Callithrix jacchus: one gene and its partner. The protein of the gene in region 1 interacts with the protein of each later gene in a pairwise test. Links are inferred from orthologs where the notes say so. Each region holds a gene or a part of one and is shown on either strand. Other genes may lie near its edges. The genes, in order: SEC22A and STX4.

The links.
Region 2: the proteins of SEC22A (region 1) and STX4 interact in binary tests that used the Homo sapiens proteins (3 or more experiments, as listed by UniProt). The two-hybrid records come from large-scale screens. The link is inferred for Callithrix jacchus from reciprocal best matches to the Homo sapiens genes SEC22A and STX4.

Annotation. Positions count from the first base shown.
Region 1 is NC_133516.1:79,848,570-79,853,055, reverse strand, and holds the start of SEC22A (vesicle-trafficking protein SEC22a), read left to right. Parts: upstream 1-1,468; 5' UTR 1,469-1,645; exon of another isoform or gene 1,646-1,895; intron 1,896-4,361; 5' UTR 4,362-4,367; coding exon 4,368-4,405; exon of another isoform or gene 4,406-4,458; intron 4,459-4,486. UniProt on the Homo sapiens protein: May be involved in vesicle transport between the ER and the Golgi complex.
Region 2 is NC_133513.1:30,560,297-30,564,854, forward strand, and holds the start of STX4 (syntaxin-4), read left to right. Parts: upstream 1-1,461; 5' UTR 1,462-1,730; coding exon 1,731-1,760; intron 1,761-1,937; coding exon 1,938-2,039; intron 2,040-2,128; coding exon of another isoform or gene 2,129-2,150; coding exon 2,151-2,250; intron 2,251-2,385; coding exon 2,386-2,460; intron 2,461-2,895; coding exon 2,896-2,966; intron 2,967-4,558. UniProt on the Homo sapiens protein: Plasma membrane t-SNARE that mediates docking of transport vesicles. Necessary for the translocation of SLC2A4 from intracellular vesicles to the plasma membrane.

The DNA of each region.
Region 1 (4,486 bases):
CATTTCTGTTGAGTAGGACCAAATTTATGTTAGTTCAGGCCTTTCTTCTGAACTCTAGGTTTACATCCAAATCTACTTGACATGTCCATTTATAAGCATTTCAAATTTAACATTCCAAACCATTTGCTCCTCCTTTTGTGTTCCATGAATCAGTAAATGACTTCTCAATCCATCTAGTTACTTAAGGAGTCATCCTTAATATTCCTCTTTTTTGACCTTTCTGGCAAACCAATCTATTAGTAAGTCCCTTGGATACCATCTTTGGTTTATATATATCTTGAAATTATCCACCTCTGTCTTTAACTCCCATTACACTAGTTCAAGCCACCATTTCTGGCTTTGTCTGATGCAACTGCTTCCAACTGGCCTCCCAGCAGCCCTTCTTGCCCTCTTCCAATCTATTCCCCACAAACAGCTTGAGTGATTCTTAAATATGCAAATAAGAATCTACTTAATAATAGTCTTTATGAGCTGCCCATTGACCTTTGGCTGAGATGAGACAAGGGCCAGACCACGCTGGCTCTTATTGGCCACATTACAGATTTCAGGCTGTATTTTGGAAGATATCTTAAAGTCAATGCGCAAAGTTTCTCCTTGTTCCCTACACTCCATCCACATTGACTTCCTTTTAGTTCCTAGAGCACACGAAGTTATGTCATGTCCTAACAACCTCACACATCATATTTCCTTGACCGGGAACACTCTCTAAGGCTCTTTAATATGTCTGCAGCTTAAAAGGCACTTATTCGGAGGGCTCTTCCCTGACAGTCCAAAATTAATTCATCATTGCACCCACTAATTTTCCCTCCCAGTACTGATCACAATTTATAATTCTGTAACTATTTGTGCTTTAATGTCTCTTGCTCCTATTACGTCTTAAATTCCATCAAGTGTTACGTCCACTCCTGTAACCCCGTGCTTAACACGGTGCTTGGCACATGGTAAACAGTCAGTAAATGCCTATTTAATAATGTACGACCGATGCAAAGGCCGGAAGGGGTCGCAGGGTCTGCATCCGGCACTTCTCTGCTACGGTTAGTTTCCTTCATGTGTGCGGGAATAGAAGGGGCTAGCTCCTCTCCTTGCTCACCCAGAGGGGGCTTTTCTCCCTGTCCCTTTGATAATGTTTGCTGTAGGGCAGCTTGTGAGAGACAAATGCCTGCAGATACAGGGCGGCGAGCGGGGGAGACTGACCCTATTTCTGAAGTCAGGGCAGTTGTGTCAACAGAGGACGGGGTACTTTTCTGGCGCAGGTGCGAGAGAGGCTGCCAATCCCTCCTGCATGGGGTGGGACTAAGGCGGGTCCCGGGAGTGGGCGGGTTGTTGTGGCCTTCCCGCAGAACCCGATTGGCCTGGGCGAGCCGAGGGAACGGGGGCGTGGTTAGATTCCGCGTGTGCGAGCCCCGTTGGACGCACCGCAGCCTCGCCGAAAGGCTCCTCCCAGGCCCCACAATGCATTGCGGGGCGCGTCACTCGGAGCGGCGGGTCCCAGCTCGACAGGTACTTCCCTGCCCCTCCCAGTCCTCTTCCCTTCTTAGGGGTCGTTCGAACGCCTGCCGGCCGCTCCCCTTCCTCTCCCGGTCTCCCGCCACAGCCTCGGCCTCCGCCCTCGGGACTGAAGACCTACCCGACGGGCAGGAGCCAAGTCTGTGCCTTTGGGGTGGGAGCTGGGGCCGCGGAGCTCTGGAGGGGCGGGCAAGCGGGGACCCCGTCCCCTTCGACTTGAGGGGTCTGTTGGGCCACGCGGGTGGCAGTTGCGCTTTGTCTGTGCTGCCTCAGGTATTGGGCAGCCAGGGGAGGAATATCTGAGGGGGAGGAACAGTCGCCCTTGGCTGTCAGCGTAGTGGTGGGGATTCCCTGGCCCCCAGATGTCGGAAACACGGTGATCTACCTGTGTAAGTGGCCCGCGAGAGCTTGAGGTGGCGTTTCTTACTTCTTTTAGGCAGAATGGGACTTGAACCAGTGTCTTAGTTTACGTCTTGTGGGGATGGAGTGAGCATTGAGCCCAGATATTTGCCCACGTTGGCTCACAGAAACTTCTTGAGACCCTGTCTCAAGAGTCACTTTGGAAACGATATGGCGGAAGGGAGACCTGAGTAATTGGCTCCACAAGTGGAGGAGGTCTCCGAAAGAACAGGACAAGTCCCAGCTGGCTTGAATCTCTCTGCCAGTGAATACAGCTGAAGATAATTTTTCTCCTGTTGCTTAGTTTCCTGGATTATCCACCTGGGGCAGGTGGCGAGCTTGAGAACCAGTCCCTCCTATGCCTATTCAGCCAAGGCAAAGCCTAGCCCAGAGCAAAAGTGTCAGCCACCAGACTGGAGATGTTGGATCTCCAATCGGGGGAACAGCCACTTTTAAAACTCCAATTCACTTTCCATGTTATTTATATTTGGTTACATGCTAAGATTGTAAGGGATCAGGCAATGCCTTAAGTGGTACCTACAATTTCTGGTATATTAAAGTTCATTATTTGACGTTAACACCTGTGACCGTATCCTAAATTAATAGGGACATTCAGGTATTTCCTATGTTGAAAACATCACATCTGTTTGGTGCTTTTAATTTATTTTTTGTGTGCAACTGATTAAAATAGAAGTATATCTTATGTTGGTGTATGAAAGAGGCCCAGGCACTATCACAGGGGTGCCTGTGACCTTCCTTTACATGTTTTTGAGTAAGAAATTTGCATATGTTGATAGTGTCTCACAGTGTTAGAGTTGGGCCTGAGTTAAATCCCTACTTTGTCACTTTTTAGTTTAGGGATTAAACAAATTCCTTAAGCTTTTTGGGCTTGAGTTTCCTCAAAGGTAAAACGGAACTAATAATACCTACCTCACAGGTTGTTGGAAGGCTTAAATGAGGTAATTTGTATGAAGTGTGTGGTCCATAGAGAGTAATCAGTAAATAATATAGCAAATACTTAATATAGTGCTTTTAGTATATTACAAGGCAGTGTTTCAGGTGCTTTACATGATCCTATGAGATAGATAATATTATTTTTAAAACAAGCCTATGAAATAGATACCATTAGTAGCCACAATATGTAGGTGTGAAAATTGAGATATGTCAAAGTTTGCCCAAATTTGCATGGCTGGTGCATTGTGGAGCCAGAATTAGGACCCAGGAAGCCTGGCTCCAGATTCTGTCCTCTTTATAACTACCAAACTGTACTGCCTCTTAAAGAAATTATAACCTGCTATTTTATTATTTTAAAATGAATAGCTAGTTTCTGTATCACTGGTTTCTTGCCTCTTGTTGGTTTTTGGAGACTGATGAAGCATTGTGGTATAGAGATATTAGAAATTTAGATTGAAGAACCAGTTCTGCTATATACTAGCAGTGTGACATTGAGAAAGTGAGCCTCCATTTCCTCATCTGTAAAATGGAGGTTCTACCTATCCAAATGTGGACTATGTGGCACTATGCAAATGTTGGGATTGACACCTTTGAGCATATACTGTTGGCCCTGTCCTAGATGTGAGTAAAATCTATTGTGAAGCCTGAGGTCTTATACATACTGTGCAGTGCAAGCGCCCATAATAGGAGTGTCAAAAACTACTAGTGAGGTAAAGCGCACAGGCAGAATGGTAGAAATTTCTTCCCCTTTATCACTCAATCTACCCCGCACCCTCCCTGTGCATCACAGTTAGTATAGCTTTCTGTCCAGATTAACTGCCACTGCCCCCCCAACATTCCCACAGATCTCTGCTACCACTTTTAATAAAATAACATGTACCTTATTGGTAGTGTTTCTCAAACTTTGGTACTGTCACATATGCAAGATAATTTGATTAGCAGATGAACATTTAAAAAATTCTCCCAAAATGTTCACACACATACTTGAATGAAACAAGTACATTTAATCATAAAAACCTGACACCTCAAAACTGATTTCAGATATTATTGCTAAAAAATAGAGGACAAGAAAAGTAAGTCAGTTCAAAGACCAATATTAGGTAAATAGTACAGGTGGATGAAGATAATTATGAAAGTGGCATTTAGATGACTGAAGACTGGGAAATTATGAACTAAAATAAATGAGTGCTTTTACCCCCAGTATAGAATGTTTTTATCTTAAAAATGGCATTTGTGAAAGCATTTGGCTAGAACATATATACAAAATCTACTTATATGTTGGGCTTTATTACCTTTTGAGAGATACCTTCCTGAGACATTGAACCTGTTGTCATTACCCACACAAGGTCCTGAAGAAGAGAGATGTCTTGTTATCTTAGGTCTAAGAACTTGCTAACACTACTATAGTAGTTTGGCATTATGGGAATTTATTTTCCTCAGCCTTTACATAAAGGTTTACCCAGATTTACCTAGATTCTAACTTGTGCTTTTTCCTTCAACAGTTGCTGATGGCGAGAGGAAACAAGAGCCACTATTCAGATTCCCTGTGAGTTAACTGCTGCTGTCTAAAGCGGGTATAATATTTTCTCTGTATTAAAGGTGAGGAAAAATGGACCAGTGCTATAAA
Region 2 (4,558 bases), on another chromosome or scaffold:
GAAGTCCATAGCAACTCAGTCCCAGGAATCTAGGCTTCCTGACCAGGTCATAGCAGAAAGGGTCCATTCCTTCCCCTACTTGTACCTTCACAGAAGCTTCCTGGAGAGCCCTGGGTTCCAGGAGTCCATTATTCATTCCTGGCTATGCTGAGACTTGCTGAGTGACCTTGGGGACTCCTCCTAGAGAATGTAAGTTTGACGAGTGCAGGAATTTTTGTCTATTAGTCCCTGATATGTCTCCAAGTCTAGAACAGTGTTTGGTCCATAGTATGTGCCCAATAAATATCCATTAAGCGAATTAATGTTGCCTGTAATCCCAGCACTTTGGGAGGCTGAGGCAGGATTGCTTGAGCCCGAGAGTTCGAGACCAGCTTGGGCAACATAATGAGACCTCACCTCATGAAAATTTTTAAAAATAAAAAACGAGTGAATATCTAGATAGCCAGGGTTAGGGAAGTGTTACAGTCAGAAAGTCTGAAACCCAAAGAAGACCAGGAAACTGGGGGCTTTATCCTGAGATACATGAAAGGCTAAAATTTTGTGCACAGTTATTTACAGAGGGCCCATTATGTGCTTGGTAGTGAGCTAGGAACTCCCCAGATTCAGTTAAGAACGAAGTCATGACCTGATCTCAGATGTAAGGTAGGGGCTGGGGGGTGTGAGTGGTAGGGAGGCAGCGTGCTCAACAATACAGACACTTTTCTTAGCCTGAGCTGCCCTGACATGGTCTGACTGCTCAGAGGTGGTGAGTGCAGCCGGGCTGCCATGTTCAAGGAGGGCGCCGGCCGCCCACCTACCAGAGGCTGCGCCAGGAGGATGCGGGAGATTTCTGCCTTGGGTGAGGTCACCTCCCACCCCCAGATTCCCTGCTCACACAACCCTGCAATTTTCTGACGCTGACGGCTCGGATATTATTTCCCGATTTTCGAGGTCCCATGATGCTGACAGCCCCAAATGCTAAGTGGTCTGCCCACGTTCCTGGACCCGAAAGCAATAAAGGCGAAGTCATCAAGGGTACACCCACCCACTGCCTCAAAAGGCCTCTGGGGGTGGTCGGCGCGCCCCTCCCCACCTCGCGGGGGCTGTGTGGGCGTCGTTCGGTCGCTGGGGTGCCGGGGACTTCGTGATGAGAACGGCGTCCCAGAGACCGCGGTGACAGAGCCGGGACACGTGACAGTCACAGCGTCACGTTCTGCGGTCCGCGAGTTTGGGAACGGGCTGGTCACGTGATGCAGTGGGGGCATCATGGGGTGATATGAGATGCGGGTGTCTCGGCTTACGTACAAATGACGTACTCCTACGCCTTTTGGCAACCAGATTTCCGTTGGAAGTTGCAACGGTTCCGGTGAGGGGGGCGGGTTCTCGCGTCCAGGCAGCTCCGTTTCCGCTCGGGGCGCAACAACTTCCGACTCCGCCTTCCCCCTCCGGCGAGGAAGAGACGCGACCTTGTGCGCATGCCCCGAATTTATCACGGAGGGGCGGGGCTGAGGCTGAGAGAGCAAGAGAGGGGAAGAAAAGGGAATTCCAACCTGTGGAACCTTAGTGGTCCCCGGGGTCGGCTCCTTCCCATTGACTGTGGGTGGTGCAAGGGACAGAGCGTCTGGCGGCTTGTGGGGGTGTTGAGGTCCGCACCGGGAGGGAGGGGAGTGTCAGAGTGTGAGTGGGGTACGGGAATTCCAAACTTGAGGGCCTCCTGGCTCAGGCGCCGAGGAGGGAGAGCTCAGGCCGCCATGCGGGACAGGACCCACGAGCTGAGGCAGGTGAGACATGGGGGCAGTGGAGATGTTGAGGGGCGGACGAACTGGAACGCAGGACTCCTGATCTTCAGGGCGGGGAGGGATGGCTGATGGCCAGGAAGGAAAGTCCCGGAAGCCTGTGGGTCGTGCGGGGTGAGAGCCGCAGCGAAACAGTGGTACCAATGACTCCGGGCCTCGCAGGGGGATGACAGCTCGGACGAAGAGGACAAGGAGCGGGTCGCGCTGGTGGTGCACCCGGGCATGGCACGGCTGGGGAGCCCGGACGAGGAGTTCTTCCAGAAGGTAAGGGGCTGGGGTCTCTGCCTGGATTCGCGAGGGGGTAGGAAGACCCGAGGACCAGCGTGGTCTGGAGTACCCCATATCTCTTTCAGCCCTCTCGGTCACCCTCCCCAGGTCCGGGCAATTCGGCAGACTATTGTCAAACTGGGGAATAAAGTCCAGGAGTTGGAGAAACAGCAGGTCACCATCTTGGCCACGCCCCTTCCCGAGGAGAGTGAGTGAAACTCCGACTGCAGGGCGCATGCACCACCTTAGGGATTGTGGGGGTTGTAGTCCCACATAGGTGATTGCCAGGGTGGTTTGTTGAGGTGGGAGCTGCTGTTCGGAGTCGTGGTCTTCTCTTATTCAGGCATGAAGCAGGACTTGCAGAACCTGCGCGATGAGATCAAACAGCTGGGGAGGGAGATCCGCCTGCAGCTGAAGGGTGAGCTCCTGGGACCTCAGACAGATCCTTCCCTTTGATCCTGCCCTGTTGTTGGTGTATCTGGGGAGTGTGTGGCCCAGAGAAGCCGATGATATAACCAGGTCACACAGCAGGCCTGGGTCTAGCATCTCTGTCTCCTGGCCTCCAGGCCATTGTACTCTCCACAGGACAAGCCGGCCTCTCAGGTTCTTTTATTTACAATGTAACCATTTACTTACACAGTTATTGCAGCCCACTGGGCATTCTTTGGGCAAGAGGATGGGGTTTTGTTAGGTGGCCTCTGCATACCTATGGGAACTCAGTGATGTAATGCAAAGAAAAATAAACGTACTTTCTCCTCTTGGAGGCTCAGCCTTAGTCATTTTATGATAAATTATATTTCCCTAAAAATCCATGGAAACAAGTACCCCCAGTACTCCATGTGTCTTCCCACAGCCATAGAGCCCCAGAAGGAGGAAGCTGATGAGAACTATAACTCCGTCAACACAAGAATAAGAAAAACCCAGGTGGGTTTTTTTTTCTCAGAAATGAGGACATTTCAGCAAATGTTTCATGAAGTACTGGATGACAGATGTATGAAGGAAGGGCCTGCAGAGATGGTGGAGTCCAGCGGAATGATTTTCCAAATGGGGAAACTGAACTCAGAGAAAGAACTTGCTCAAAGTCAGGAAACCAGGTCTCCTGATGCTTAGTCCGATTATAATACCCTGCTTTATTTTCTTTCATTCAATAAGAAGTTGCTATGACCCCAGACAAGACCTAGGTTTGGCTGTAGGGACACATGTTTCTTTTACTTTTTTTGCCTCAGCCTCCTGAATAGCTGGGATTACAGGCAGACATCACCATGCCTGGCTAATTTTTGTGTTTTTAGTAGAGATGGGGTTTCACCATGTTGACCAGGCTGGTCTTGAACTCCTGACCTCAGGGGACACTCCTGTCTCAGCCTCTAAAGTGCTGGAATTATAGGTGTGAGCCACCATGCCTGGCTGGGACACATATTTTCTAGGAGTCAAGATGAGGAGTTCAGGTTCAATAAGGACAAAGACATTACTCACGTAGGACTTGGTGATAATGGTGCTGCCCAGGGAAAGAGAGAAGTCATAAATGACTGGCAGCTTTCCTGCCTATGTGACAGGGAGTCCTTAGTCCCACAGGCAGAATTCAAGAAGGCAGGAAGAGGAACTTCCCTGGGGCGACACTGAAGAGGAACTTCCCTGGTGTGATATCTTATATTTTTAATTATTATTTTTTTGAGATGGAGTCTTGCTCTGTCACCCAGGCTGGAGTACAGTGGCAGGATCTCGGCTCACTGCAACGTCTACCATCTGGATTCAAGCTGTTCTCCTGCCTTAGCCTCCCAAGTAGCTGGGATTGCAGGTGTGCACTACCACACCTGGCTAATTTTTTTATATTTTTGGTAGAAATGACGTTTCACCATGTTGGCCAGGCTTGTCTTGAACTCCTGACCTCAAGTGACCTACCTGCTGTGGCTTCCCAAAATGCTACGATTACAGGTGTGAGCCACTGTACCTGGCCTTTGGGGTGATGTGACTGGCCCTCTCTGGGTCCCCAGTGAAAAGTACTTTAGGATTCTAGGAGGTCAGGGTTGGAAGTTAGGCCCAGGGTTGGAAGTGAGGACCCCAGATTGAAGATGGAGCAACTTGGGCATCTTGGAAGGGTGCAGCCGGATCCAGGAGAGTAGATGTATCTCTGGAAACGAAACTCCAAGGAACGAACATATTTAAGGCCTCAGGAGAAGGGGCAAGGCAGAGCAGATGACCTATAGCCAGTGCTTCTGGGGTAACCTGTGGTGCTGATTGGCATGAGAGGTCAAGGGCCCATGTGGGCTTGTTGCACCTGTTTTGCCTGGGCGGCATGTTCATCTCTAGGCTTATGAGCACAGTTGTGGTATAAGCAGCAAGGTTGGCATTCAGCAAGTGCCAGACCCTTTTGGAACTGTTTAGGATACAGCAGTGAACCAATGATCCCTTTCATCATGGAACTTCCATTCTGGTGTAGAGAAACAATCACCATAATACATAAGTGAATTATTTAGACATAATAAGCATTATGGAAAAAAGAGCAGAGGAAGAGGGAC